7 linked regions of the Canis lupus familiaris genome follow. The protein of the gene in region 4 interacts with the protein of the main gene of each other region in a pairwise test. Links are inferred from orthologs where the notes say so. Each region holds a gene or a part of one and is shown on either strand. Other genes may lie near its edges. The genes, in order: mitochondrial dynamics protein MID49-like, TMCO6, TMUB2, UBQLN1, LITAF, UBE2V1 and HSD17B12.

Region 1 (4,175 bases), on a different chromosome or scaffold from region 4:
GGTGGCCCTGTCAATGAGCTGCCGGCAGAGTGACATGGATCAGAGCATCCGAAGCCTGTGTGGCCAGGCCAAGGCCAGGGGCAACGCCAGCCAGGTTGCTGGGGTAGAGAAGCAGGTGCCAGCTTTGGGCACTTCCCCACCCCCTCCCCCTGGGGCCCCACTGTCCTCCTCGGGCAGCCCTAGCTCTGAGCGGCTCAGCCTGGCCTTACCCGCTTCACAGCCAGGGTAGCAATTCCCAGCACGGCGGCTCCGCCCACGCCCAGCACCAGGCGGGCATTGGCCAGGAGGAAGTCCACGGTGCTGCCCAGGACCTCATCACGCTGCTTCCCCCGTTTCTGGGAGAACTCGGCCATGGTCTGTCTGCCTGTAAGAGGATGTAGACATAGACAGCTCTGTGGGGGGGCGGCCAGGCTGGCAGTGGGGCCGACCCCATCATGCTGGGGCTGTCGTGAGTAGAGCTGATGAAGGGAGTTCCTGGGAGTTTCTCAGGAGAAACGGTTTCTTGGGAGGAGATGGGGCTGCCCAAACCCCCACCTCTACCACACTGCAAACCTGCAAATAGCCCACCCACTCCCTAGACAAGGAGCTCATGTAGAAAGGCCCTGAGAGGGATCCCTGGGTGGCGCAGCGGTTTGGCGCCTGCCTTTGGCCCGGGGCGCGATCCTGGAGACCCGGGATCGAATCCCACATCGGGCTTCCGGTGCATGGAGCCTGCTTCTCCCTCTGCCTGTGTCTCTTTCTCTCTCTGTGACTATCATAAATAAATTAACATTTAAAAAAAAATTTTAAAAAAAAAAAGAAAGGCCCTGAGACTTGTGCCAGGTGAGAAAAGGAGGCCCATCTTCTCCATCCCATCCTCAAGGACCCCTGACATGACCTAAGATGGTGAAGTGAGTCTCATCATCGCTATCCCCATTTTAGAGAGATATAGGCTGCCGAACCACACAGTGAGTGGTGGGGACCTGGACCCATCCTGCAAAGTGTCCTGACTCTGGCCCACCCCCAGAGTCCAGTCAGTCTACTGGAGCCTGCAGCCAGCTCCAAGAGGCTGCTTCGTCCTGCTTCTTAACCGGGGCTGGGCATAGGCAGGAGGGAACTCTGGCCTAAAGAAGACACCGCCAGGGGTCCTAGCAGTCTGCCCTGCAGGGCCCCTCAGGCCTTTGACCTCAACAGAGGTCCCCCCGCCACCAGATCTCAATAGAGTAGCCCCTGGAGGGAGAGCTATCAAGTCAAAGGACAGGACGAGTGAGCTGGCCCAGGCTGCCCAGGGAGGCACATCAATGAAGGCTGAGGCCTGCCTGTGGGGGCAGCAAGCAGGGTAACTCCAAAGACCCCAAACAGGACATCTGGCTGGCTCCATCTGTGGAGCGTCTGAGTCTTGATCTCGGGGGATGTGAGTCCCAGCCCTATGTTCGGTGTAGATTACTTAAAAATAAAATATTTAAAATAAGTAGGTAGGGATCCCTGGGCGGCTCAGTGGTTTAGCACCGCCTTCAGTCCAGGGCGTGATCCTGGAGACCCGGGATCGAGTCCCACGTCGGGCTCCCTGCGTGGAGCCTGCTTCTCCCTCTGCCTGTGTCTCTGTCTCTCTCTGTGTGTCGTGTCTCTCATGAATAAATAAATAAAATTAAAAAAAAAAAAAGTAGGTGAAAAATAAAGACCCCACCCCCCATCCCAAACAGAGAACTTGCCCAGTGCCTCTGGACAGGGGCCTCTCTGGGCCTCTCAAGTTTGAGACAATGCAGGGGTAGCGGGGATGGGGGAGCAGCTGTCAAAGACTGGAAACCGAGGCAACAGAGAAGGGAAGATGAGGCTTTGTTCACCTGTAAAATGGCACAGGCGTGGTGAAGGTTTACACGTGGGGAACCCAGAACTATAAGGCTGGGTAGGCCTGGGTACTTGGGAAGTGGAGACAGAGATCCCACCCAGGCCTAGGCCCCCAAACTCCAACCTCTGGTTCTTCCGGGGGATTTCCTGCCTCAGGCCCTGAGAGCAGAGGGGGCGTGTGGCCGGGGTGCAAGCTGAGGCCCGGAGGACCAGTCAGACACCAGGCAGCGCTGTCTCTCTGCGGATGCCTGAACCAGATGACCGTGGGTTCGCAGCCAGCCCAGGCACCAAGGACTTCTGTCCTCTCGGATCCGCTGTGGGTGCCCAGGGCTCAGTTGCCAGGTGACGAGATGCCTAGAGCAGCTGAAGCCTGAATCACCACCGGAGTCAGCCCCAACCCCCGCCCCCCGATTTGCCCAGAGTAAAAATAGGACAGGAGGGCTCTGGGGCCTGGGCTGGTCAAAGGCTAGGGGAGTGCCCCACCAAGGCCCGGCGGCCGCTTTTAGTTACTTCCTCCTCGATGATCAATACTGCAAGCCATCTCCAGCGGAGCCCAGAATCCACTTGCAAAGTGTAAAAAGCTTTCAATACCTCCTGCCTGAACGGGACTCAGCCCAACCCCTGGCGGGGTCGCGCAGGCCGCAAACCGCAGCCTTCCAACTCCCGGAACGCCGAGAAGGCGCGGGTGGTTAAAAATAACCCGACTCCGCGCTGCCGGCCCGGCCCCCACCAGGCGCCGGGAGACGCCGGGAGACGCCGCCCGCCCTTCCCCTCCTCCGCCACACCTGCTGCCCGGGGCCGGGGCTGGGCCGAGCGCGCAGGAACCCCGGGGAGGGCCTGGGAGGGGCCCATCCGCGCGGAGGGCACCAGGCCCCGAGAAGTGCACTGAGGCGCCCAACACGTAAAGGGGCAGGCTCGACACTGGAACTCCGGCCCGGGGCGCAAAGCCCTTCCCCCCTTCCCCGGCCGTGACCCGGGCCCCAGCGGAGACCACGCCCCCGACCTGCGTCCGACGCACGCTCCACGCCCCGGTCTGGGGGACCCGGGCCGCTCAGCCGCACTCCGGTCGCACGGGCGTCGCGGCTTCGGCGCAGCGACCGCAGGACACAGCGGGTGCGACCCTGGGTCCTGAGCCCGGGCCCGCCTGGGAATGGAACTCGGAGGACCCGGGAACCGAACCCCGAGGCCCCGGGGGCGGCCCTGACCTCCGACGCAAGCAGACGAACAAGCCCCGGGTCCAATCGGAGCGCCCGAGGCCCCGCCCACGTTCCAAAATACTGCGCGGCTCAGCCAGTGAGGAGCAGGCCACGCCCCCCGCTGACGAGCGCGGCCCCTCGGGGGCGGGCCTCCCGGACGCACTCGGGCTTAAAGGCGCAGGGCGGGGTGGCGACCGGGACCCGGGTCGGGATGAGCCGGACCCGAGGGCCTGGTGGGAAGCCGCGTGTGCTCGCATGGGAGGCTGCGGAGTAGACAGAACTGTCTGGGCTCGCGTTGTTTCCGGGGCCCGGCAAACAGGTGGTACCTGGCCCGAAGGCCCGCTTGCCTGACCCTTGAGGTCACCTCTGAGAGCGCAGTGTGGCTTTATTATTTTATGTTGGCGCGCGGGGCACACAGCGTGACCCAGGAGGCTGGCCCTGCCACCTGCGCCGTGTAACCCTGTGCGGGCCACTGCTCCGTTCTGGCCTCAGTCTTCTCTCCCCTGAAGTGGGTATCACAAGGCCCCTCCCCCCGCGAAGGGTGACCGTGCATAGAACCTGTGGCTCACTCGGCGTTTATTTCTTGGGGACCTATTATGTGCCGGCTGGTGGGGGCGCAAGGAAGTAAAGAGAGCCTGAATGATAACGTGCCTCTTATCGAGCGCCTGCTGTATGCTGCGACCTACACCTGAGTTTGTTTCTGGCGACAGCCTTAGGAAGCATTTCACAAATGAGAAAGCTGAGGCAGGAGCAGACCTGGGGTTAGCCCAGAGCCCTAGGACCCAAGGCCTAGGTCCGTGCGCCCCCGGGCCTGGGTCCCTAATCGCTGCAGAGGTCACGGCCGGACTCCAGCGGCTGCGGCTGCCCCGGGGGCGGAGCCCGGGCCTGCAGGGTCTGCGGCACCCCCCGCCATAGGTCGCTGAAATCAGCGTGGAGGTTAGAAGCCTGCGGGAGCGCAGGGGGAGCCCGGACTTTTTCCGAGGGCCCGGGGTCAGCGGACGGCGGGGGAAGCCGAGGCCCGGGGAGGCCCGGGGAGGCCCGGCGCTCCGGGTTCCCCGGGTGACGCGCGGGGCCGCGGCCGGGGCTCCGCCTGCCGCCGGGCCGGGCGGGGGCGGGTTAAAGGGGCGGGGCCGGCGTCGGCCCAGCCCGCGG
Region 2 (4,159 bases), on a different chromosome or scaffold from region 4:
TGTGGCCCATCCCCTCCACACTCCTGTCCATCCCTCAGAGGCCCAGGCCCCCACTCACGCCACCCCCACTCACAAGATGAAGGCCTGCTGTGTCTCAGGATGCTGCAAGCCTCGACGAAGGCTGACCAGAGCCTTCTCTCTCTCCTTTTCCTCGGTCCCCCGCTGCGCTAACCCGAGGAACTGCTGGATCTGGAGCACAGGGCAGGGAGGGGAGAGACAGCAACACAAAGTTGCCAGAAAGCAAGCATAGTCCTACTCTGCCCACTTCACCTGTGAGCACTCCAATGTCCCACCATCTCTAGAACCTGTCATTCACACTAACGTGGCTAATATGCATCAATCTTGCAGTAGAAAGAAGGGCGAATCAGAACTGGGTTTTTTTGTTTGTTTTTTTGTTTTTTTTTTAATTTTTATTTTATTTATGATAGTCACAGAGAGAGAGAGAGAGAGAGGCAGAGACACAGGCAGAGGGAGAAGCAGGCTCCATGCACCGGGAGCCTGATGTGGGATTCGATCCTGGGTCTCCAGGATCGCGCCCTGGGCCAAAGGCAGGCGCCAAACCGCTGCGCCACCCAGGGATCCCAGAACTGGGTTTAATACCAGCCCTGCCACTTCCTTTACAAGAACTAAATCTGTTTTTTTTTAAGACTTTATTTATTTATTCATGAGAGACAGAGACACAGGCAGAGGGAGAAGCAGGCTCCCTGCGGGGAGCCCGATGTGGGACTCAATCCTGGGACCCCAGGATCATACCCTGGGCAGAAGAGATGCTCAACCACTGAGCCACCCAGGTGTCCCCTAAATCTGTTTTTAACCTGAAAAATGGGAATAACATCTTCCCTGCTGTCTTAGAGCTATTTCAAGGATAACATTTAAACCTTTCTTGGGATGCCTAGGTGCCTCAGGTCATGATCCCAGTGTCCTAGGATCAAATCCCATGTGGTCTCCCTGCTCAGCTGAGAGTCTGCTTTTCCCTGTTTCTCTGCCTCTGCTTTCACTTGTGCTTTCTCTCTCTCAAATAAATAAAATCTTTTAAAATAAAAAAATAGAAATAATAAAAATAGAAAAAAAAAAAACCTTTCAGGATGGCACAACCTACCCCACTAGCCATTCTCCCCATGCAACCTATACTCCAACAACACCTAGCATAATGTGACTTGTTCTTTTAATGCTTCCAAGCTTTTGCACACACTTTTTTTTTTTTCCTTGGGATACCCTCCCCAGGCCCTCCACTCCCTTCAGATATCTGGGAAATAAGCCCTTTCTGGGTTCCTTTCGAAGACTTAGGGGTTTCTGTTGTGCCTCATGTTTCCTTCATGACAGGTGGTAGCACGTGTCTTCACTGGGCTGCTGTTAGGACCGCAAATAAAGGGACTCTCCACAGAGCACCTGGGTGGCTCAGTTGGTTAAGCCTCTGGTCATGATCCCATGATCCCATGGATCCTGGGATGGGGTCCCTGTTGACCTCCCCCTCCCCCAGCTCCCATCCGAGGGGTGCACTCTTGTTCTCTAATAAATAAAATCTTTAAAAAAGGGGGGGGGACTCTCCTTGTCTGTGTACCTCAATATCCATCAGTGTCCTGGCATAAAGTAAGCACAAAATGAACCAATGGTATAACCTAGGCATGAGAGCTTATGTAAACAACATACATAAACACAGGCAATATAAATAAGGGGAGTACCTAATGCTTGCTGAATGAATAAATCAGCTAAAACTAATCATGTCATTCACTTAATAAATAATGAGCATCCACTATATGCCAGATACTATAGGGCATCTGAGTTTTCAATGAAAAGTAAGATGGGGTCTAGACTCCCAGGGTTTTAAAGTCTAGTTAGAGAAACGATAAACAAGCAAACAATTAGTACAATTTATATTCTGCAAACACGCTGTCAAGACAGAACACAAAAAAGGACCCAGTAAAGCCTTGAGATAGGAAAGAGCCCAATATGTCTTTCAAAAATGGAAAAGGGGGAACTTTGGCTCAGATGAGTAAACTGGCAAACTTGGAGGTAGGCAAACGTTAGATCATACATCTAGGAAGGAAGCAGATGTGGATTTTTAAGACATCTGATATATGGAGAATGAACTTGAAGTCCGCAAAGCATAGATGCAGATGACCTGTTAGAAGGCAATTATTAGTCTACGGAGCAGAGGATGGTGGTAGCTGCGATGTACACCATCGTAAAGGTGCCAGGGCTCTTTAGGGGTGAAGAACGGCTAGGGCTCGACGTACTGCTGTGGGGACAAGGGACAGAGTTGTAGAGGATGATCTCCCAGTTTCTGGCTTGGCCCACTGGATGGAGGTATTTATTGAGGAGACCGCGTTCAGGTTTGGCGCGGACCTCTAAAGGAATTTGGCGCCCGGCGGCGTAGACCTCACCGCGTACCAGGTCCCCTCACCTCGGCTTCTCCGAGGGTCATGGCCACACATCCCCCTTCAGTTTCCTCCAGGGCGTCATCTCTCAGCAGCCTCTTACTGATCAGTTGCTGCTCCCTCCGCGCCTTCCGCAGCGCTGGGGACAAAGAAGCCGGCTGAACGTAGAAGGGGCACCTAGGACCCTGAATCCCTTCAGCGACCCGGAGGCCCCCTCACCCAAACCCCAACCGCCAGACCACCACCACCGCGCCCCGCATCCTCCCGTCTCCCTCGCCCTCCCGCACCTGCCTCCCGCTCCCTCCAGCGGCACCGTAGCTCCTCCACTGCGCAGCCCACCGGCCTGAGGCGGCCCTGCCGGCCGCTCCACATAGCGGAGCTGGAGAAAATTCGCTCCGAGCCCAGAACCCGGAAGCCCGAACCTACAAGATTGCACGGACCGCGCAGCCGCCGCGCAGGCGGAAAAGGAGGTGCGAGTGGGCGCTCAGAGGAGGTGCTCAGAATGGAGGCGGGGCGGGGCGAGAAGGAGGGGCCAGGGGTGCGGCGGGCCGGACCGCGGGAGGGGCGGGGCGAAGGGAGGGGAAAATGGGGTGGGGCAAGAGCAGGGAAGGGCGGGGCGACAGCTAGAAGCGGGCGAGACCCGCAGCACCTCCTCTGCTTCTGATTGGTATTTCTCCTTCTCAAGTCTTTCTTTTCTTTCTCTCTCTTTTTTTTTTAAATATTTTATTTATTTATTCATGAGAGACCGAAGGAGAGAGAGAGGCAGAGACACAGGCAGAGGGAGAAGCAGGCTCCTTGCAGGGAGCGCCAGGCAGGACTCGATTCCAGAACCCCAGGATCACGCCCTGAGCCCAAGACAGGCGCCCTCACGTCTTTCTTTTTCCCATTTCCGGGAAGAAATTCAACGTCGTACGGGTCCAATGCGTCACCTTCCACTCAACAAATATAACCTCCCCACACATAACATACCCTAGACGAACATTCAAAACTACTCCGAATTCTAGGAAGATTTCACCCAAAACTGGACTCCAACTGATGAACGCTGGATTTGTATTTCCCTTTTGAATATTCTCCACGACGACAATTATCCCTATTATGTTCGTATGAAGAAAATGAGACAAATACAATTATTTCACTGTTGTGCCCCAAAGTGATTCGCATTATTTTAGGGATAAAGTAAATCTTAAACCAAATTTTGAGCACCGCTAACTACTAGTTACTGGGAAAACACTGATGAATTTTTTAAAAACCGTGTTCCTCACCCTCAGAATCTGCATTGTGACAAAATAAGCTTCTTCACTGGAAGGGCACTTCGCCTTATTCACCTCTCCTGGGATTTTCTCTTTGTTCCCTAAACAAACCCTACTCTTTTCCTTCTCCAGGCTTTTGCCCAGGCTGTTGTTCTGCCTAGAGCTCTGTCTCTGCCTGGGGGCCCCCCAACCAGTACCCTTCCCTTAATTAATACCACCCTCAATATCTCAATTCCCAATGTCCCCTACTCAGAACTACTGGACCTCTGTCCCTGTCTTAAGAGCCTATAGCACCATATACTTCATAACCTTTTTTACTGTCATGAAGTTACAGTGTAATTATTTCCTCCCCAAACCCCCTTCACACCTCCAACAGAATAGAGTCCTGGTAGCACTTAAGAATTTTTATTGGAGGGGATCCCTGGGTGGCTCAGTAGCGCCTGCCTTCAGCCCAGGGCGTGAGCCTCAAGTCCCAGGATAGAGTCCTGCATCAGGCTCCCTGCATGGACCCTGCTTCTCCCTCTGCCTGTG
Region 3 (4,255 bases), on a different chromosome or scaffold from region 4:
CTGGACTGCTGCTTTCTGGGCCCGCTTGTCTTTTGGGCAGGCCTTGGATGTCAAGCAGATGCTCAAGGCTCGGCTCAATACCACCCCCAGCTCCAGGCTCCCCTGTGGAGTCTCCCCCACCTTCGCCAGCCTCTTCAGCCTTCTCATCATTACTCTCTGATGGATGGGGGAGTTCAGCTGGCTCTGGGGTGACTTGGCCTGCTACTAGATGGTCCACATGCCCCAGGTGGAGGACGGATGAGTCTCCAGCTGACACAATGGTGCCCAGGAGCTGGTTGCTACCGCTGTCTGCTACGTAGGTAGAAAGCCAAGCTAGGACCAAGGCTAGAATCAGCACCACCACACCTGCCACCACAGTCACCTCATTACCCACACCCTCAATGAGGGTGACATCAGAGAGCTCCATGGCCTGGCTGCTGACTGGGTCGACACTGCAGGAACAAAGGGGGGCATAACATCAGCAGGGTATATAGGGTTGCAACCAGGTTCCTAGTTTGTTTAGGTCCTAACTGACCCAGTGCTGAAAGAAAATAGAATTCGGTGTCCTGTAGAAGGGAGAACAAACCGTCCTACCTCTGGACCTCCAACCTAAAGCTAAGGACTTAACCCTTTGCCTCTATTGTGAGACACTAGCTTTCAGGTTCCACATCTTCCCCCTCTCACATTTCAAGCTCCCAGTGAGCACGGATCACCAGGAAAACCTCGTGGCTTTGTTTGGTGACTGCTGCTGCAACTGGCTGTTGTTTTTTTGTAGGTGGGGGAAAATTTTTTTGCTTTTTTGCGCCCTCAGTTCCTCTGGGATTTCTTTTTTCTTTTTTCTTTTTTTTTTTTAATTTTATGATAGTCACAGAGAGAGAGAGAGAGAGAGAGAGAGGCAGAGACACAGGCAGAGGGAGAAGCAGGCTCCATGCACCGGGAGCCCGACGTGGGATTCGATCCCGGGTCTCCAGGATCACGCCCTGGGCCAAAGGCAGCCGCCAAAACGCTGCGCCACCCAGGGATCCCTCCTCTGGGATTTCTATCACTTGGTCTAGCAATGATGCCCCCCTGAGAAGCCTCCAAGGTGGCTTCAGAAAGACCAAAAACTATGAAATGTTTTATTTTAGGGTCTTCTGGAGGCATAGTGCAGCCACTCTTGCCAGAATGTCTCATTTGAACCCTACCTCATTCACGGTCACGTATTCAGGTTCTGATGTCAAGAACCAAAAATTTAATTTTCCGTCAGAAGCATAGACCATCCCAAAAGGACACATCTGTAGGGGCCAGCAGCAGACATTATGCAGCAGGCACTGTTGTCTGCCCACCTCTGAAACTCTTCTGAAAGTCCTAGGGAGCAAAGGAGGACAGGCACGAGAAACACTACCCTCCTGGGTCACCACAGGTTCACAACGGCAAAACCACCACCTAAGTGGAAAGGATCTGGAAAAGATTCCAAAACAGCTCTCACAAACCATATCCCTCTCTCTCCTCATGTACTGTATAGGTTTCCCTTGGCAATTTCTTAGAAAGGCAAGAAGGACCTGGGCTTGCTCCTTAGAGTACCTTCTCTTTCCCTTGGAGAATGTGCGGCTTTCACAGCTGTCCCCAGGCAAATCCAATCCAATGATTATCATTAATAGACTATCCTCACAATACCTATAAAAACCTCATTATACTTATCTACCTGTCCATCTCTCCCTACTAGGCTTCTGGAAGACAAGGATCACCATGTATTTTTTTATGTACCCTAGTGCTCAGTATAATGCTATAGTAGCTGCTAAAAGAATACTTGTGGGACATATCAACATCTCAATAGCTTCCACATCCTTATTTAGAACATGGGCCCTGGAGTAAAAACAAAAAACAAAAAACAAAACCACCAAAAAACAAAAAGCCTAATTATAATCCCAGCCTTGCCTCTTACTAGCTCTGTAACCTCGGACAACTTTCTCAGGGCCTCAGCTTTTTCATCAGTAAAATGGGGTTAAAAATAGTACCTACCTCATAAGGTTGTTTTGACGGTGACGGGAAATCATCGAAGCAAAATACTTAGCACAGTGTCTGGCACATTGCAGTGATTCAATAAATAAATGGTAGCAATTACTTATCGCTTCCACAACTAGCCCCTAATGGTAAGAAGGTTAATGTCACCGACCCTGATTTACAGAAAAGGAAATTGCAGCGAATAGAAGCGAAAACGACTGGCACAGACACACGGCACTTTCGTGGGCAGGGGCCAGGCAGGACCCCAGGTCTCCTGCCTCAGAGGCCTTTGCTGTCTTCTCAGTCTGTGGGCGACCCGGACCGCGCGGTGAGGAGGGGTCCCGACCCTGCCTTTTCTGAGGCGAAGGCTCCGCGTGGGGCGGCCCTATTCCCGCGGGGCTGGAGAGGAGTCCGTGGACCCACCCGAGAGAAAGGCTGCCTGGTCCCTGGCCGCCAAGCTCAATTCTCCCGGCCCGTAAGGGGTAGAGACCCGTGAGGGGGCCACAAACCATCCACACCCCTCAAACTTCGGGGCGGGGCTGGGGGCCTGGGGGCGGGGCTTGAGGGCGCGGGGAGTCATGGGAAATTAAAGGAGGACTGAACCGGTACTGTGCTTGGATAGGGAAGGCGTTCCTCACCTGAAACGGCCAGACTAAGTGTTTTGACTTCGCTAGGACGGCCCATGGACTCACCTTTCCGTAGGGGCCGGGGGAGGGGCTGGTATCCCCGATTCTGTCCAGGGTCCCGTCTCTTCCGGCTTCTCCCGGAAGCTGTTTTAATCAGAGACAGGAAGTCCCGCCTCCGCGCTGTGCACTGATGGCGTAAGTCTACGTAAGGCGGGCTGACGTAAGCGTATTCTTCAATAGGGACAGGTTTCTCAGCGGAAGGAGGGGCGGGGTTATTGTTGGCGGAATCAGCGCCCTTCTGGGGCGGGGCCACGCTCAGTGGGCGGGGCCTAAAGAGCCCCTGAGTGAGGGGCGGGGCCACATGGAGTTGGGGAGGTGCTTGGGAGAAGGCGTGGCTTCGCGTCTGGAAGACCCGCGTGCTGGCAGAGCCGGGCAGAACGTGAGCGGCGCTTGCCTCGTCCCGGCGTGTTCTTCCGGTCTTTCTCCCAGCCTCCCGGGCTGGTTGGGTTTATTATCGCTCTGTAACGCGCCTTGAGCTCCTGGTTAGCGAGATCAGTAGGGACTGGGCTCTCTGACCTCCAAAAGTTCAACTCAGGGCTAGTAAGAAGACGGGGCCATTTAGTCACCATTCGGGTGGTCCAAGATTGCGGCCCCAGGTAGTGTGAGACCTTGGTAAATAAGGCGAGAAAGCATTTCAAAGAAGGCACAGATTCAGCGCAGACTTAAGGCCCAAGAAAAGAAGCCCAGAAAGAAAAAAAAAAGGCTCAGCTCCAAAAACGTAGCCGGATATTGCAATTAAAATTCTTTCGAGGTGGGGATCCCTGGATGGCTCAGCGGTTTAGCACCTGCCTTCGGCCCATGGCGTGATCCTGGAGTCCTGGGATCGAGTCCCGCATCGGGGCTCCCTGCATGGAGCCTGCTTCTCCCTCTGCTTCTCTCTGCCTCTCTCTCTTTCTGTGTCTCTCATGAATAAATAAGGTTTCAGCTCAGGTTATGATCTCAGGGTCATGAGATTGAGTCCCCCCAAGGGGCTTCCAGATTTAGCGGGGAGTCGGCTTGGAACTCTTCCTCTCCCTTTGCCCCTCCCCCTTGCTCTTTCTCTCTCTCCAAAATAAATAAGTCTTAAAAAATTTTTTTCTTCAAAAGACATGTTAGGATTTTGTTGTTTTCTGACGAACTATTTATTGATTGAAGTATAAAAAAGGCAGACGAGGCAAATTCATAAGAGTTCAGTGGTTTTCACCAACACACCAATAGAGCCAGCACTCAGATAAAGAAATAGAAAATGATCCCAAAGCCACCCCCCCCTCATGTTCTCTTCCAGGCACTAATTTACAAAGCATAGACACTATTATGACTTCTGTTACCATAGATGAGTTTTGTTTTTGCACGTTGTATGAATGGAATCAAGCCATCTGACTTATTCTTCTTTCCAAGTCTTATTGTGAAATACACATAAATTTACCACTTTAACCATTTCTAGATGGTTTTTAAAAAAACTTTGAGAGACAGCAAGGGCGTGAAAGAGAGAGCACAAGCACTGGGGAGGGGTAGAGGGAGAAGCAGACTCCCCAGTGAGCAGGGAGCCCAATGTGGGACTTGATCCTAGGACCCTAAGATCATGACCTGAATTGAAGGCAAACGCTCAACCAACTGAGCCCTTTAGG
Region 4 (4,118 bases):
CTGACACACAGCAATTTCCCTTAACAAGAAAAGGCTCAAATCTATGCAATACTTGTTATATCTAAGTATACGAATATTCTAAAAGTTTCAAATGATAAAAATGTTTTCTAAGACTAGAATATATGTTGCCTGAATATTTCAGAGAACTAGATTTCAAAATCTTTTACTATAACCTAGAGCACTACAAAATCCCGGAACAAGCTAATTAGACACGTTACCTGGAAGCTCCCTTCTGCTCTCTGCACTAATTTTAATGAACGAATGACAACAGAAAGCACTTTTCAGAATAAAAATTCAAATGTCATCAGAATAAGTTGCTTCGGAAAAGCTTTAATTTAACCAATTTACTTTGGTTACAGAAAAGTAAAATTAAAACTCCCACAGGCTTTAAAATTCTAATGTCACTCTCACACACACAATATATATATAAATCCTAACAGACAGTACCTCATAAAATAACTTAAATGTACTTTTCTATTTATAAAATATTGACTCTTTCCAATCCTTTACAATAAAATGCTGAAAGCAGGCATGAAGGTGGAGACCTGAATTAGCAATCCTAGAAAGAAGATCTAAGGGCTTCAAAAGCTAATATACCTAGCAGAGCTAAAATGAAAAAGACTGACACTATCAAATGCTAGCAGGGATGTGGAGCAACAGGAACTCCCAAGAACCTTTGGTAGAACCTTTGGTGGAATACCGAATAGTATTCCATTGTAGGGGAATATATCACATTTTACTCTTTATTCATCAGCTAAGGGGTTGTTAATCATCTGGGTTGTTTCTTTTCGACCAGCCTTTAAAAAAGAGCGATAGAAGCTCTTTTTAAAAAGACAGTTTCTCATAACTAAGCCTACAACTACGCTATCACCCAGTCATTCCACTTCTAAGAATTTTAACAGGAAAAACTCCCTCTGTCCAACAAAAAAAGTTTGTATGTTCACAGCAACCAACTGCAAGAAGCCCATGTGGCCCTCAGCAGAATGCATTAATTAATGGCATATTCACACAGTGGAAAACACAGCAATAAACAGGAATTACTGGCATATACAAGAATGCATCTCAAAAACATTACACTGAGTGAAAAGACCTTACCCAACAGAATATATACTATATAATCCCACTTATGTGAAGTTCTAGAACAGGCAAAAACTAATGGTGAAAAAAATCAAAACAGTGATGTATGGAGGGGAGTGATTGAACTGTAAAGTTCTACATCTTGATAAAACTTTGGATCATATAGGTGTATTTGTTGAAAACATTTAATGATACTTGCAACTTACTCTAAAATGCATTCAAAAAGTAAAAGGAAGTAATACATGATTAGTTGCGTGATAAAGCAAATAAAACAAAGCGTCAATTGTAGGTGACGAACTATGAATGTTCACTGTACCATTCTTTCAACTCTGCTAGATGTTAGAAAATATTAAAATGTTAAGAGAAATTTTTATACAATTGGGGACCCCCCCACACACACACACACACAAAAGGTGATTCAGTAGGTGGTAAAAGTTTCTCAGTTGATGGTACACTCTACTTACTGCTCTACTCTATTTACACCACTATTTCCTGCTCTACTCTACACCACCTTTCAGAACGATTATGTAAACCAATATCCCATTTACAGTTTATGAGAAAACTTACATGTACATTTCACATTGTTGTTCCCTCAAACTGTTCCCATTTTAGATCGTCAGAGGTCAACAACTATGCAAAATATTTTCAACAATAAGCTACAACAAATTTGTTGAATTCTTCAAGATTCTTAATTGAACAGCAAAGTTTGTACACCCGAACCCAATTTTAAGCAGTAAATTATCTGGCAATATTCTCCATTAACTCCAATTTTGTTCTCTTGCATTCGACTGCCACCGCTAATATCTGCAAAACGTGGCTACCATCCCTCTAAAATCAAACAAAAACCTTCCCGATGACTGGCACCTAAGGGATGATAAACACTAAAAAGAAAACCGCAAGTCATCAATGAAAGTCATCCACCTTTCTTCCTTAAGGCTAGTACTATTAAGATGTGGCTGAAAACGATTTCTACGTCATGGTTAATTTTTTTTTTTTTTTGAAGATTAGAAGGTAGAAAAGATTTCAGCAATCAAAACGCAGAACTAAATGTACACGTGCTCCTCGCCCCAAAATCGACCTTAAGCTGCAAGCAGGTGAAACAATGGGCACCCACCCACCCTTTTTTTTTTTTTTAACTCAGGAGACAAAACCGCAGAGGAGGCTACCGCGAACCCTCGCCCAGCCCGGCCTCCACCCCGCCCGGAGCGCGGCGGTGGTCCCTTTCCTTTGTGAGCAGCGGGAGGGAGGCGGCGGGGGGCGGGGGGCGGGGGGCGGGGGGCGGGGGCTGGGGCGGGGGCTGGTGGTCCGCGGACGCGGGAGCGGGGGGAGGGGGCGGCGTCGGCGCGTCCCACAGCAGGCCGCGGGGCCCCGCCACAAGCCTCTGCGGTGTCCCAAGGAGCACACCCGGCAACTTGGGTGTGATCTGATTCGGGGCGAGACCCGCGAGGCGGGCCGACAGCACCTCGGGGGACGGTCTCCTCCCGCCGCGGGCGGAGGTCCCGCCGCCACCCCCACCCGGGCCCGCGGCCAGGGCGGCCCTCACCTGCTGCACGGAGCTGTTCTCGGGCACGGCGAACTCCTCCTTCTCCTTCGGGGTCTTCACGGTGACTTTCATGATCTTGGGCTCCGCGGACGCAGCGGCCGCGGGGGCGCCTGCACCTTCGGCCGCGGCGGCGCCGTCCTGGGAGCTCGGAGGGCCGCCGCTTTCACCACTCTCGGCCATGGCGGCGGCGGCGGTGACTCAGGCGCGCAGGAGGGAGCGGGCGAGCGAGGGGGAGCCAGCAGACGGCAGAGCCGGCCGGCCCGGGCAGCGGAGAACGCGGGGCACGCCGCCTCAGTGACAACCGGTGCGGGGCCGCCCTGGCAGGCGAGGGGCCGCGGGGCTCGGCGCGGGCTCCGGCGCAGGCCCGGGCTGGGCGCTCGGCAGCCGCCGTGAGTTCAGACGCCGCTCGGTCGCAGCGACATCCGCAGCCGCCGCCGCTCTTCCTCCTCCCCGCCCCTCCCCCCACGTCCCTCGGCCGGCGCCGCGCAGGGCACGCCGGGTAAGTCGGCTGGCGGCGTCGCCGAGTCATGCCCGGCCAGCCCCGCTTCCAGCCCCGGCCGCCTTTCTTTCCCTGTCCCGGCTCCATGGCCCAGAGGGTAGGCGCAGCCGGAGAGGAGAGCTAAAAGCAAAATGGGGCGGGAGGGATCAGTTCATTTCATTTCATCCCCTTGGCTAAAAAACAAATTAGCGTGTTCTGGGAAGCACGGTAACGGCGCGCGGTGATGACCTCACGCCTAGCGAAGTTACTAGAAAGGAGCTCGACCACTGGGCGACGCGGACGCGCCTGCGCGCTGTGGTTCGGCGGCGGCCCCCGCCCCCTGCGGACCCCGCGGCGGCCGTGCCCGGCCCCTCCGCGCCGTAGCGCTCGCCTCGCCTTTGCGCGCACCCGGGACCCCGGGGAGGGCAGTGGGAGTGCCGGGTGTCGCGGTAACAGCCGTCCGCTTGCCCACTTGTGGCCTTTGAGATGCTTGCCCGTACTGCCCGGTGCGCGGGAGGTGGAAGCTACGTTAATGGAGGAAGGCGCTTCGTCGTAACGAAGGAAGAGTGGGCCGTAGCCACCCTGCGCGATCCCGCGGAGTCACTGCCCCGCGGCCCGGGCGGCCCGCCCTCGGGTCAGCCGGTTGGGTCTGGCGATCAGGCCACCTCTGCTGACAGGCCGCCGCCCCCCGCCCGGACAGCCTGCGCGAGCGCCCCGGATTCTCTGGACGCTGCCCCGCAAAGTACGGGGGCAGAAACGGGGGCCCAAGGGCTGCCCCCCCCCCCCACCTGGGGCGCTTGAATGAAGCCGAGGTGTTCGTTTTACATTCTGTCAAGTTATTCCTGCAGTTCAGATTTTAGGTTCAAAAATCCTTTTTAGTAGAGTGTGGGTATAAATAATTTAATTATCTCCCCCCCCCCTAGAACTCGGGCTTTGAAATGACGTCATTTGCCTTTAAAGATGACTTGCAAGGAATATAGAACCCAGGACATTAGCTTTATTAATCAGTATTGCGCAAAT
Region 5 (3,926 bases), on a different chromosome or scaffold from region 4:
TCTTCTGTTGGTGTCTTAACTAAAGCCTGTGAAACTACACACAGTTCTACTGAAGTCATGTGCACCCGAGGGACAACTATATTAGCCAAGGAAGTGTTGCCAAAGCGGCCCAAAATACCAATAGGGGTTAAAATAGTAAGAAGAAATTGCAGGGACCTAGGAAAGCACCACTCTGAGCACAAATAACAATTTTAAGGTTAAGAAAACAAGTTCAGAACAGACCAGGGCAGGCCAAGTGGGCACCGAAGACATCATCAACATGTCTGTACTAGCGACAGGCAGAGTTAAGGAGGTCTGTCTACCTGATGAGATGGACCACCTCTCCCACTGGGCTACTGTCATTGCAGTAAAAGCATAAAGAAATACAAGACAGGTTGTACGTGGTGCCAAGGCTCTAGGACTTCCTCTTATGAGCCTTCTTTCTTTCACCATCACTGTAGCTCTGGGTTAATTCATCTTTGGTGTGGGATGCCTGGGTGGCTCAGTGGTTGAGCGCCTGCCTTCGGCCCAGGGCATTATCCTGGGGGTCCTGGGATCAAGTCCCACATCAGAATCCCTGCGTTGAGGAGCCTGCTTCTCTCTCTGCCTCTCTCTCTCTCTCTCTCTCTGTGCCTCTCATGAATAAATAAATAAAATCTTTTTTAAAAAATTTCATCTTTAAAAAAAAAAATTCGTCTTTGGTGAGAGAATTTTAAGTTCCAGATGGGCACTAGCCCCTTCTTAGAGTGGTATCATACATGCCTCCATTCTGTAGGGGTGGTTAACAGCAAGAGTATGTACTGCTGATCTCTCTGAAAATTAACTTAGGTTGGGTTGGAAATGCCTTCTGGCTCCTCCCTCCAGTGGTTCCCCTTTTATGGTCCAACCCTCATCTTGTCTGTGCCTCCTCTGAAGCTTTGCCGAGACCCTTCTGTGCCTCTGGAATGCTGCTCCCCATATCCACCTGCCCCTTCTGCCACAGAAGCACAGGCCTCAGCTTTGTTACTAAACCCACTGTGACTATCCTGGCTCCTTGCTCACACCTCCCTCCTTCCCACTCCCCTCAAGATCCTTCCAGGCATTAGAAAGCACTGAATTTCTCACCTGCATGTGTCTCCATTTTCGACCCACAGTGTAGACCCCTCAGGGCCAGGAGCCATTTCTCCTGTGTCTTTTAACGGGCAAGGGTAGCACTTTGTTCCCCCACAGCCAGCCCATAAAAGGGACCGAAGGAGCAGAGGGAGGTCCACTCACCAAATTATCTAGTATTTTAGAGATCTAAGAAATTGATCCTCTGTCTCAGATCAATCACCCAAGTCACTTAATCCACAATAACACGACAGGGATACTTTTCCAAACACGAATGAAAGCACCTATTCTTGATGCCTTGAAGTAACAGGAAAGAGGGAAGATGGGCCTCCTCCATACTAGGTATTTCTTAGAGAGGCTGGTGCACATTCAGATCCCAGACAAAGGCCGGCTTAGAGTTAAGCCAAGTGCGGCATAGGGTGTTTCCATGCCAGGTAGAACCAGTCACCTGCTCTCTGGATTCTGATCCAACTATGATAAAACCAAACACGGTGGTGGAGTCCCAGATACCAGCTCATGCCTCCCTTTACAATGGCAGCCCGGTTCGTCCTATTTTAAAAGAAGTACCCTGAAAAGGCTGGGGGTGGGGGTAGGAAGGTAAGCGAGGTAGTCAAGCATATACCAACACAAGCCATGTCTTTCCTTACAAGGGCCCCAGGGGAACTGCAGGGCTAACCCGCGTTCCAGGCAGCCCCTCAACCAGCACCAGGCTACCAGGCTACGAGGCCAACCGGAGGGATTTACCCCTCTTGGGAAGCCGGGTGGGAGAGTCTAACCTGACGGGTTAGGAAGGGGAGGCCGGTGGCTTCCAGAACCCAGGTTTCCCTGAACACCAAATGTCAGTCCAAAAAGTAATGACATCCGCCCCATGAATCAGAAGCACAAAAGTGACCAGAAAACCAGTGAAGGTCCAACTGGCCTGATGCCTGGAATGTACCGCCCTTTCCAGAATATGCCCATTTCCCCATCTCCTGACCTTGACCAGGAGGTGCGGACACAACACCAACCCCACTGCCCAGGTCTGACCTGCAGAGCAGAGGGGAGCAGCTCACCTGCCAGGCCTGGCGGGGGAGGGGTGACGCCCACCTCTGCCACGGGTTCCCCAGCCCCCAGCCCGTGCCGCCAGCACCCAGCCGACCCCGGCAGCGGGCGGGCCTGGGCCACCCCTGCACTCACCCGGGGCCCCCTGACCCGCGGGGAGGCGGGCTGGCCGGCGCCACGGCTGCCTTCGCGCTCGGTCCGCTCCCCCCGGGGGCTCCCGAGGCGCCCGCGCGCCCGCAAAGGCACCGGCTCAGGATGGCGGGGGCGGCCCTTAGAAGCCGAAGGTCTGAGGCCGGCGTCCGGGAACTCTCCGGGACGATCCCAGCGCGGGCGACCGGCCCACTCGGGGGCGCAGGGCGGGAACCCAGCCCGTCCCGCGGTCGGGGAAGCCGGCGCCGGCGGGCCCCGCGCGGAACAGCTCGGCCGGACCCCTGCGCCCTCCAGCCCGCCCCGACCCCCGGGGCCCGCGCGATGCCCCGGGTCTCCCGGCGGCGGCTGCTCCCGAGCCCGGGGCCAGGGCTCACGCCGCCGAGCCCGGCCCCCGCCCGCGCCCCCGCCCGCGCCCGCCCGCGCCCGCGCTGCACTCACCGCCGCCCGCGCCGCCAGTCGAGCCGGGAGGTCTGAGCGCGCGGTGCAGCCGAGCTGCGGGGCCGGCCGAGCAGGGGGCGGGGCGATCCCAGGCTGGGGGCGGGGCCTGCCGCGCAGGGGGCGGGGCTAGTCATGGCCGGGGGCGGGGCCGGCCGAGCAGCGGGCGGGGCGATCCTTGGTTGGGGGCGGGGCCTGCCGCGCAGCGGGGCGGGGCGAGCAGGGGGCGGGCCGGGCCGAGCCGAGCAGAGCCGAGCCGAGCCGGGGCCGGCGGCGGGGCAGCTCCGGCTCCCGCCCCTCCCTGCTCCTCGCCCACCCAGCGCAGCCTGGCGGGGTCCCTGCCCGAGGTTGCCCACCCTCCGGGTTCTGCCCCTCCCCTCCGCCCCTCGGGACACCCCGCAGAGTACACCCCGACCCGGCTCACTCCCGGGACGCCCCCGCTGACCTCGGAGCCCCCCATCGTCCGGTCCTGGGTCGCCCCTTGGGGATTCCGCTCCTACAAGTCGATCCCCTCCCCTCCGCGTCCTGATTCCCGCCTCCAGCTCTCCCCGCTCCCCTAGGCCCCCCATCTCTGGCATTCCTTCCTCCTCCCTACCCTCAGGCAGCGGGGGCCCATCAGCCTCCAGTCCCAGGTCCAAGGTTGCCTGCCCTCCGCAGGGCGGCCTTTCTCTCCCCAGTGCTCAGTCCTGCACATTCAGACGCATCCACACAGCCCGAAATACTCCGTGTGCCTTTGGGCAAGTCACGCACTCCTCTGGGCCTCGGTTTCCTGTGTATAAAATGGGCATAACAGTACCTGTCTCATAAAGTCTAAGAATGCACCGAGAAGGGTTTAGCACAGATTAGGTCTTAAATAAAACCAATCTGCTGTGCTACTACTTCCTAGGCCCCCAGGGTGGTCCACCACCCCTAGGTACTTTCTCCCTGGCTAAAAGCTCTGGAAGTCTGTATCTGATCCTCTGCCCCTAAATGGGTGCTGCCTGCCTATTTGACCAGAGCCTGCCTGCTAGAGTATTAACAGCAGCCCTGATCCAGCAGGGGACTCTGAGAAGTCCTCACCAGGCATTAAGGAGCCTGTGTGGCTTTCAGAGTACAAAGTCCTGGAGATGCAAGGAACCCTAATATGGCCATCTAGAGAAATGCCACTTGGGTGAAGAGCCTATGAGCCACTCGAGAGGGATTCATAGACCTGGATCCTACTGGACCATCCTCCAGTGATAGAATCCAGCTGC
Region 6 (3,934 bases), on a different chromosome or scaffold from region 4:
CAATCCTCTCTTTTTCTTAAAGTGGGCTCCCTGCCCAATGTGGGGCTCAAACTCACAGCCCTGAGTTTGAATGTCACATGCTCTAACAACTGAGTCAGCCAGGCACCCTGTCATTAAGACTCATCCATTCAATGAGTATTTACCTAATGCTACTTCATATTGGCCACTTTGAGGGCTTCCCTTCACACTTAATAAAACCTAAAGCCATATCTGCCCAACTTATTTCCTTAACAAGCCTCTTGTGCACACTATGGCCTTTTACCTGTTCTTTCAACAGACCGGGCTTGGTCCTGCCACAAGACCTTTGCACTCACTGTCTCTACCTCTCTTGCCTATGATATACACTGCAGGGTTGGCTCCTTCCATCATTTACATCAGTTCAAATGCCATCGTCTCAGAGAAGCCTTCCCTGATACTACTTTTATCACTCTGTATCACATCACACAATTTCCTTCATAGCACTGCTATCTGAAATTGGCTTAATTATTTAGTCCTTGAATGGCTTTCCTCCTGACTAGAATGTAAGCTCCTCAAGGACAGGGGCTATGTCTATCTTGTCCACTATTCACAGTGGGACATAACAGGCCCTCAGTAAATGTGTGTTGAATAAACAAAGGACTTTTCGGAAGCCCACTATTTAGAGCACCTTAAAGCCTGTTCTATGCTATCTACACCATGCCAAGTGCTTTTGACACTAGACAGGAGTTGACGATGTTTTATCTGACTGCATTAGCATTTATGAAGCACTCATCAATTGGCAGGGCTTCAAGAAGTTAGAATTAAGTAGCTGTTAAACCAGATTGTAGGTAGCCAATCTCAAGTGACTGCAAACTGGGCTGAGCTGCAATATGACCATAATGCTGGCTGCCACAGTTACACTGTAGCCCCCACTTCACAGCAACCTGACAGGGGTGCTATTATGGTGAGAAGTTTCTCACAGCAGTCTGGCCTGACTCAGCCTCTCTCTTCTGTGGCAGTATCTTTAAAAAAAAAAAAAAAAAAAAAGAGTTGACTCAGCACTATTCCAGCTAAAAATCAAAATCTAGGAAAAGGATATGTGGTCTCCTCTATGCTTCATCGGGGACCCCACTGCTCTAAGTATAAAAGGCAGCTTGTGATAGGTCATTTCAGTCTGATCCCCTAGAGCCAATTCTCTCTATTGCTACAGTAACAGACAAGGATGGTTTCTTGGGGGTACTAGAGGAGCAACACCCTGGAAAGAGGGACTCCCTTCACCCTGTTTCCTTTAGGTCACCAAGCCTCTCTTAACAGTGCTGATGCTGTGGCCTTAACTAACCAGAGGATTTGAGTACCCAGGCTCGTGGCCCTGCTTGCTTCCCTCATCATCACCCTCTCTGTGAGGACCTCCTTGGCCAACATCCCTGGTACCTCAGAGTACAGCTCTCTCGCCATAGGGGGACATTCAGTCTTCCCCCAAATCCTGCACTTCCAAAATCTTTCTTGCCTCATCAACCCCTCTGGGGGACCTCCCCCAGCCAATCTTTACCCCTCCTCCTCGAGAAAGCCATCTGAGTCCATCCCCTGAGGTCCATTTGTAGAACGTTAACTCTGAAACAGACCCTTCAGGATTTGATCCTCCGGCCCATCCTAGGAGTGCAGAACAAGGAATCGAGTCTCAGAATAAATGCTGCCTCCCTCAAACCACAAGGCACTGGATGAACCTCCCTCTCTCAAAGTACAGCTCCCTTTATTTCCTCTTCTGCTTCATGGAGATGGGGGTTTGTCCAGCTTTCCTGCCCCAAAGTCATCCAGAGTCTTCGTTTGTCCCTCTCCCCATGCCCATCCACTAAATGGGGAACCTCTGAGCTGAACCCACGTATCTTTTACCAACATCCAAAGGAGTGCTAGGGAGTGACAATGGCCACAAAACAGACACTTCTAGAGGACGCTTCTCCCCCCCCCCCCCAAAAAAAAAGAAAGAAAGAAAAAAATCTCTGAAACAGGACTTTTTTCCTCACTCTCACCCACTGCATGGAGCTTCCTTCAGTTGATCCTCCTCAAGTAAAAGCCTGATGATGACGGGATCATATCCCTTTGGAACCTGAGAGATCGTTTTTCCCTTCTCACTTGTCCCGTTGGGATGCGCTTTGATACCCCTTCCCCCAGAAAAGCCACCTCAAGACGCCCCCTTCCCGACCAACACGGAGATTTCCTCAGCTGACCCCATCCCCCAAACTAACGCTGAAGCCGTCCCCTCAACCAATGCAGGATCCTCGGTCACCCCCCGAGACCCCGTTTTCTCCTCCCGTCCTCCCTAAGGGCTTTTCTCAAGTCCCTGCCACACGGACATCCCGGGGCTGCCCCGTCGCTCGGACCTCCAGCACCCAGTAAAGGACTCTCATCCGTTTCGGGGAGCCTTCTCATCCCCTAGGAGACCTCCTGGTCCCCGCCGAGCCGCCAGCCTCCGTCTCCTCAGGAATGCCTCGGGGCTCGCCCCTCGCTAGCTCCGGCCGCTCAGCGGTGCCTTGGGGCCGGTCCTTCCTCTCAGCCGGGCCCTCACGTCGCCCGGGGGAGCCTGTGGGCCCCGCCGCGCCGCCCACAGGCCCCTCAGGCCCCCGCCCGTGCTTCCGGCCACCGCCTGCTCCTCCTCCCCCCTCAGGCCGCCCGGCTCGCCACCGCGGAGCCAAGCGGACAGAGGTAACGCAGAGGCCCTGGTCCCGCCGCAGGGACCTTTGCGGGTCCTCGGTCCCCGGCCCAAGCCCGCGCCCCCTTGGCCAGCCGGGCCCGGCGCCCCAGCTCACCCGAGCCCGTGGTGGCTGCCATCTTGCGTCGCTGTCGCTCGAAGGCCGGCCCCTTCTTCACCCCCCGCCCGTCCCCGGGCCGTTCTGCGCAAGCGTGCGCGCCTGCGCAGACGCCGCTGCTGACGCCCGCTCCGCGGACCGCGCGACCCGTTGCCGGGAAGGTTTTTTTTTTTTTTTTTTTTTTCCCTGCCTTTTCAGAGGAAGGAAACATGATGTGCGTGCGGGAGGGCCCGGCAACCTGCATGTTCCTCCAGGCTCGGGTGCGAAGGAGATACTGAGGTGTTTGGTGAGAAAGGCAAGGGTGATCAGACTTGGGAGGACGCGATTGTGGAAGATACAGAAGAAAGCTAAAAAAGAAAAAAAGAAAAGAAAGCCTATTTTACTTCGTGCATTTCCTTGTCTAGTTGGATCCTCACAATATCTCTACCAGGTCGGGATTAATGTGAAAAATGAAACTGAGGGGCAGGTTCAGCGATTTATCTAAACTTAGCGGTTAGGTGGCTGAATCAGAATTTGAAACCCGGCCAGAGTCCTGGGCCAGAGAAGCTTTGTTTTGGGGCATTAAGGTGTCAAGGAAAGCATTCCACTCATTCATTCATTCATTCATTCATTCATCCATTTATTCATCCAAAGAAATACTTAACTAAGACCTACTATGTGCCAGGCGCTGTGCTAGGTCCTGGGAATGGATATACATCCCTGAAGTCTGTTCTTACAGGCTTACATTCTAGTCAGAGAGCTAGTTAACAAAGAAATAGGAAAAGATATAACTATGATAGGATAGAGATTGAACCTAGGAAGGGGCAGCAGGGGGTGGTCGGGGAGGGCCTCCTAAGGTGGTTACATTCAGCAGAGACTGATTAAGAGGTAGAGGGAACAGCATGTGCAAAGGTCCTATGGACACATATTTGCAAATGTATGTTAAATCCAAGAAGGGATTGATCTTTTATTATAAGCGGTCTAAGAAGTCCTGATGTGGATTTAGAAACAAGCTGAGAGAGGTGAAGGGACTGCCTCAAGGTCACACAGCTAAACACTGGCAGAAGAAGGACAAGGACTTCCAGTACAGAGGAGCAAGGAAACCGGAAGCCCTTATCCAGGACATCCCGTGCATTACCTTGTTTTGACAGTAGTGCCTCCTAAGCATTTCTCAGCTCCATCTATTTCATCCA
Region 7 (4,209 bases), on a different chromosome or scaffold from region 4:
CAATTATCTACCTAATTTTAATCACAATTTAACTCTATTCAAGCGTCATCTCTGCTGCTTTGCTTGTCAAATTATTTCAGTGCATCCCTCCAACAGATACAAAGCTGTGGAAGACTTTGTTTTTCAAAGACTCCTTGAATTTGGAGAGGTAAAGTAAATATTTTTAAGTTCAGGCCACCACATATATGTAATGTTACAAATAACAAGTTATCATTTCTTCTGCTTAAGTACCTAAAGAACAGATTTTTCTAACAATCCAGGATAGACTGAACTCAACAATCACAAAGTCACTTTACAACACTATGATCCTCTCTATTCTATCTCAGCATTCTGGTCCAAATTTCTTTTCTAAATTTTTTAGACATTTCCTTCAATTTAGCAAGTATCCTTCCTCTGGGATCAAACCTTTTCAATGATGACTTAGACCATCTGAGTTATTAGTCACCGGGGCCTATTATATTTTAAATAGTTTTTTTTTTTTTTTAAGTTATTAAGGGGGATCCCTAGGTGGCGCAGCGGTTTAGCGCCTTTGGCCCAGGGCGCGATCCTGGAGACCCGGGATCGAATCCCACATCGGGCTCCCGGTGCATGGAGCCTGCTCCTCCCTCTGCCTGTGTCTCTGCCTCTCTCTCTCTCTCTCTGTGTGACTATCATAAATAAATAAAAAAAATTTTTAAATTATTTTAAAAAAAGTTATTAAGGGACACCTGGGTGGCTCAGTGGTTGAGGTCTGCCTTCAGCCCAGGGAGTGACCCCAGAGGTCCCGGGATAGAGTCCCACGGGATAGAGTCCCACGTGGAGCCTGCTTCTCCCTCTGCCTGTGTCTCTGCCTCTCTCTCTCATGAATAAATAAATAAAATCTTAAAAAAAAAAGTTATTATCATTACTCTTTGCTGACAAATCACAAAACTTCATCTTGATATGCGATTTCCTAATGCACTGGAATCTTGTGTAACTATCTCAAAAGTTCACAAGCAAGTTTTCCAAATCAAGAACTTAGGCAAGTCAATTGTGAAATCATAAACTCTATTATAATCAAGTTGAGCACTTCACTTCTTTTTCAAGGAATATCAGAAAACACTAAGAGACTTTTAAAAATAAGTATTATAATATGGGATCCCTGGGTGGCTCAGCAGTTTAGTGCCTGCCTTCAGCCCAGGGCCTGATCCTGGAGTCCTAGGATCGAGTCCTGCATCGGGCTCCCTGCATGGGGCCTGCTTCTCCCTCTGCTTCTCTCTCTCTGTGTCTCTATGTCTATCATGAATGAATGAATGAGTGAATGAATGAATGAATAAATAAAATACGTATTATAACGTGAATAGTTGCTTCACATCCTGGACAAAGCTCTTACACATCCATCCATTCCTGCTTGAAATCTCTTTACGTCGCTGTCCAAAAGGTTAAATTTCTTATGTTTTTTTCCTACTAACTTCTTTAAATGTTTTTGAATGAATAAAGTGAGGACTGTGGAGTTGCCTTATTTGTGTACTTACTTGAGCCTAGTCTGACAGCAATCCCTAATCACTCCTAGATTCAATCAAAATGCTAAGTGAGTGTACGTTCAGTCATGAAATAGCAGGATAATCGCAGACACAGAGACCGACCACAGCACACTACTTGGTTTAGAAGAAGAGGAGGAGGAGGAGGGGGAGGAGGAGGGGGAGGGGGAGGGGGAGGAGGAGAAAGAAGAGGAGGAGGAGGAAGAAGAGGGGGAGGAGGAAGAAACGAAAAAGACAGAAAAGCAACAAAGAAGAAGAAGAAGAAATGAAAGACAGAAAAGCAACAAAAAAGAAGAAACGAAAAAGTCAGAAAAGCAACAACAAAAAAAAGAAAGCAAGCACAAAACTTCGATGCAAGTGATTTCCCCACTTCTCCCCCGCGACCTTTCCCTTCCACCTCTAGGGCCCGCCAGCGGAATGGAACGAGGCCTTTTCCTATAAACCTCCTTCTGAAAAAAAAAAAAAAAAAATTGCTCCTGACTTCTACCTGGAGAGCAGCCGTGTTGCAGAAGCGGTGGCTCTGTGACACCGCAGGACTCCAGGGAAGTTTAGGACAATCGAGAACAAAACAAAACCCCGTAGATCCTACGAAACAGACCGAATCCAAATAACTGGGAGAGAGGCAAGTTTCAAAAAAAAAAAAAAAAAAGGCAGGAAGACTTGTGAAATTCCACGTCTTCTTCGTCCCTCCTCATGCCCCGCAAAGTCCACAGAATGCCTTTCGTCCTGCGCACGGGGCCACTATTCAAATCAAGCGAAAAACTTTATTAAAACACACACACACAGACACACACACACGCGCCGTCCCGGGGGCGAGCCGCCGAGCGCCGGGCACTGCCCGGGGGGCCGCGAGGTGAGGGGTCCAGGCCCCGCCCCCGCCAGGCCCCGCCCCCCGCCGCGGCCCCTCCACAGTCGGCCGGGCCGGGCCAGCCTGGGTCGGCCGGGGTCCAGCGGGCCCGCGGGGAGCGGGGGGGGCCCGGAGCGGGGCGCCGGGCTGCACTCACCTGCCCACTCTCCGAGCTGCGGCCCGACCCCTGCCTCGTGACTCAAACCCCAGAGCCGAAGGGCCGTGAAGAGCGAGCACGAGAGGCGCAGGGCCACGTAGGCCACGGTGCCCGCGCCGACCCAGTACAGGAGGCCGGCGGCAGGAAGAGCGCTCTCCATGGCTCCAGCCGGGCCTTACTACCTCCGTGAATGGAGCCCCGAATGAATGAATCCAGGAAGAGGCGCGGGCCGTGACCGCGAAGACTACACCGACGCGCGCGGCTCCGGCGCCGCTTCGAGCCTAAGCCCCGCCCACGGCGCCATAGCCGCGCCGCCATTGGCTATCCGGCGCGCCCTCTGCGCGGAGCGCGTCAGCCATTGGCTGGCTCCAGCCTCGCTCCCCGCCCACGTCGCTCCCCCCGCCCCCCGGCGCGGGTCCCCTCGGCGCCGGCTGATCGCCCGCCTGCCAATCCCGCGGCAGCCCCGCCCCGCGCGTCGCCACGCCCCCGGGATGCCGCCCGGCTCACCCCACCGCGTCGCGCCGGCCGCTGATTGGCTGCGGCCGTGCTCACGCCTGCGGGAGGCTGCGCTCCGATTGGCCCGCGAGACCCGGCTGGGCGGGCGCCCGGGACTCCAGGGGGCGGGGTCCGCGATGTTGCGAATGAATGGAGGGCGGTAGTAACAGGTGGGCGGGGAGGCGCGGGCTGGTTCCCACCAGGGGCTCTATCCTGCCGTCAGGTGCACGTGCCGCCGTCGCCCTCGTGAAGTTTCCCGGGTCGAGGCTCGCGTCGCGCGCGTCTGTGCCTGCCGCGGCGGGCACCTTCCCCCGGTGACCCGCACGGGGGCCTTCTAAGCGCCGCGTCTCCGAGGCCCTGGAGTTCAGGGCAAATAACTCCATGGACCCAGGTAAGGACCATGGACCAGGTAAGGACCACGCACGGGGACATAGGAGCTGGAAGATGAACGAGAAATTGAGGAACACAGGCTGATGAATAAGGAGTTTGGGGAAGAGACTCCATGACGATAGAGAGGTTTCTTTACTCTCTTTTTAAAAATCTAAAAAAAAAAAAATTTTGGAGGGGGTGGGGAGATAGAAAAGTGTATGGACCTAGTAGAGATAAGAAAATCACCTTGGCAGAGCTCCACAAGGTAAGCGCGAGCACCTGTGTAACGTAATAGACTGCTTTGCCCTCCCTCTCTCGTCCACCCAAGAGTTTTTGTTTCCTTTTTCGGGCATGGATCTGGGTTCATATAAAATCCCTAACATTTTCTTAGCCGGTAGGGACTGCTGATTTCGAGGCTTTTTTAAAAGGCACGAATTGAAGGGTAGTAATTGTAAGAATCAACAGCCCGACATATCCTGAAGCTAAGGTAATAATGTCCTAATATATGTGCTTTCAGAGCCTTAGCCCTCTGCCCAGCCCCCCTACTCTTTTTCCACCCTCTCATCAGATTAATTAACTATAACCCTGAGGCTGTTACTGTTCTTTATAAACTGTCAAGTGTCTAGCAGAAATCAGCCGTGTGAGTCGAGCAGGCACATTGTGTTTTGATTGAATTTGACACCTCGGCCGAGGCTGCCTGTCCAAGTCCATGAAATTCCACCATTGCTCTGTCTCAACCTCGCCCTCCAGCCAGTCTTCACCGCAGTATAGCCCCTGATGCATGTATCCTGATTCATCATTGCTCACCAACTAAGGGCCCTCAAGATATCTGAGCTCCTTAC

What was found.
Region 1: the proteins of UBQLN1 (region 4) and mitochondrial dynamics protein MID49-like interact in binary tests that used the Homo sapiens proteins (3 or more experiments, as listed by UniProt). The two-hybrid records come from large-scale screens. The link is inferred for Canis lupus familiaris from reciprocal best matches to the Homo sapiens genes UBQLN1 and MIEF2.
Region 2: the proteins of UBQLN1 (region 4) and TMCO6 interact in binary tests that used the Homo sapiens proteins (3 or more experiments, as listed by UniProt). The two-hybrid records come from large-scale screens. The link is inferred for Canis lupus familiaris from reciprocal best matches to the Homo sapiens genes UBQLN1 and TMCO6.
Region 3: the proteins of UBQLN1 (region 4) and TMUB2 interact in binary tests that used the Homo sapiens proteins (3 or more experiments, as listed by UniProt). The link is inferred for Canis lupus familiaris from reciprocal best matches to the Homo sapiens genes UBQLN1 and TMUB2.
Region 5: the proteins of UBQLN1 (region 4) and LITAF interact in binary tests that used the Homo sapiens proteins (3 or more experiments, as listed by UniProt). The two-hybrid records come from large-scale screens. The link is inferred for Canis lupus familiaris from reciprocal best matches to the Homo sapiens genes UBQLN1 and LITAF.
Region 6: the proteins of UBQLN1 (region 4) and UBE2V1 interact in binary tests that used the Homo sapiens proteins (3 or more experiments, as listed by UniProt). The link is inferred for Canis lupus familiaris from reciprocal best matches to the Homo sapiens genes UBQLN1 and UBE2V1.
Region 7: the proteins of UBQLN1 (region 4) and HSD17B12 interact in binary tests that used the Homo sapiens proteins (3 or more experiments, as listed by UniProt). The link is inferred for Canis lupus familiaris from reciprocal best matches to the Homo sapiens genes UBQLN1 and HSD17B12.

Annotation. Positions count from the first base shown.
Region 1 is NC_049226.1:41,511,469-41,515,643, forward strand, and holds the start of mitochondrial dynamics protein MID49-like, read right to left. Parts: upstream 2,801-4,175; 5' UTR 2,680-2,800; coding exon 2,613-2,679; intron 2,599-2,612; exon of another isoform or gene 2,419-2,598; intron 2,413-2,418; exon of another isoform or gene 1,824-2,412; intron 365-1,823; coding exon 210-364; intron 19-209; coding exon 1-18. UniProt on the Homo sapiens protein: Mitochondrial outer membrane protein involved in the regulation of mitochondrial organization.
Region 2 is NC_049223.1:34,924,537-34,928,695, reverse strand, and holds the start of TMCO6 (transmembrane and coiled-coil domain-containing protein 6), read right to left. Parts: upstream 2,801-4,159; 5' UTR 2,751-2,800; coding exon 2,666-2,750; intron 2,537-2,665; exon of another isoform or gene 2,518-2,536; coding exon 2,405-2,517; intron 190-2,404; coding exon 74-189; intron 1-73.
Region 3 is NC_049230.1:19,083,157-19,087,411, forward strand, and holds the start of TMUB2 (transmembrane and ubiquitin-like domain-containing protein 2), read right to left. Parts: upstream 2,801-4,255; 5' UTR 2,655-2,800; exon of another isoform or gene 2,601-2,654; intron 2,520-2,600; exon of another isoform or gene 2,106-2,519; 5' UTR 2,016-2,105; coding exon 1,981-2,015; intron 1,420-1,980; exon of another isoform or gene 1,169-1,419; coding exon of another isoform or gene 1,164-1,168; intron 432-1,163; coding exon 1-431.
Region 4 is NC_049222.1:76,347,002-76,351,119, reverse strand, and holds the start of UBQLN1 (ubiquilin-1), read right to left. Parts: upstream 2,801-4,118; coding exon 2,621-2,800; intron 1-2,620. UniProt on the Homo sapiens protein: Plays an important role in the regulation of different protein degradation mechanisms and pathways including ubiquitin-proteasome system (UPS), autophagy and endoplasmic reticulum-associated protein degradation (ERAD) pathway.
Region 5 is NC_049227.1:31,518,769-31,522,694, reverse strand, and holds the start of LITAF (lipopolysaccharide-induced tumor necrosis factor-alpha factor), read right to left. Parts: upstream 2,801-3,926; 5' UTR 2,698-2,800; intron 1-2,697.
Region 6 is NC_049245.1:37,222,839-37,226,772, forward strand, and holds the start of UBE2V1 (ubiquitin-conjugating enzyme E2 variant 1), read right to left. Parts: upstream 2,801-3,934; 5' UTR 2,785-2,800; coding exon 2,763-2,784; intron 1-2,762. UniProt on the Homo sapiens protein: Has no ubiquitin ligase activity on its own. The UBE2V1-UBE2N heterodimer catalyzes the synthesis of non-canonical poly-ubiquitin chains that are linked through Lys-63.
Region 7 is NC_049239.1:26,448,243-26,452,451, forward strand, and holds the start of HSD17B12 (very-long-chain 3-oxoacyl-CoA reductase), read right to left. Parts: upstream 2,801-4,209; 5' UTR 2,664-2,800; coding exon 2,504-2,663; intron 1-2,503. UniProt on the Homo sapiens protein: Catalyzes the second of the four reactions of the long-chain fatty acids elongation cycle. This endoplasmic reticulum-bound enzymatic process, allows the addition of two carbons to the chain of long- and very long-chain fatty acids/VLCFAs per cycle.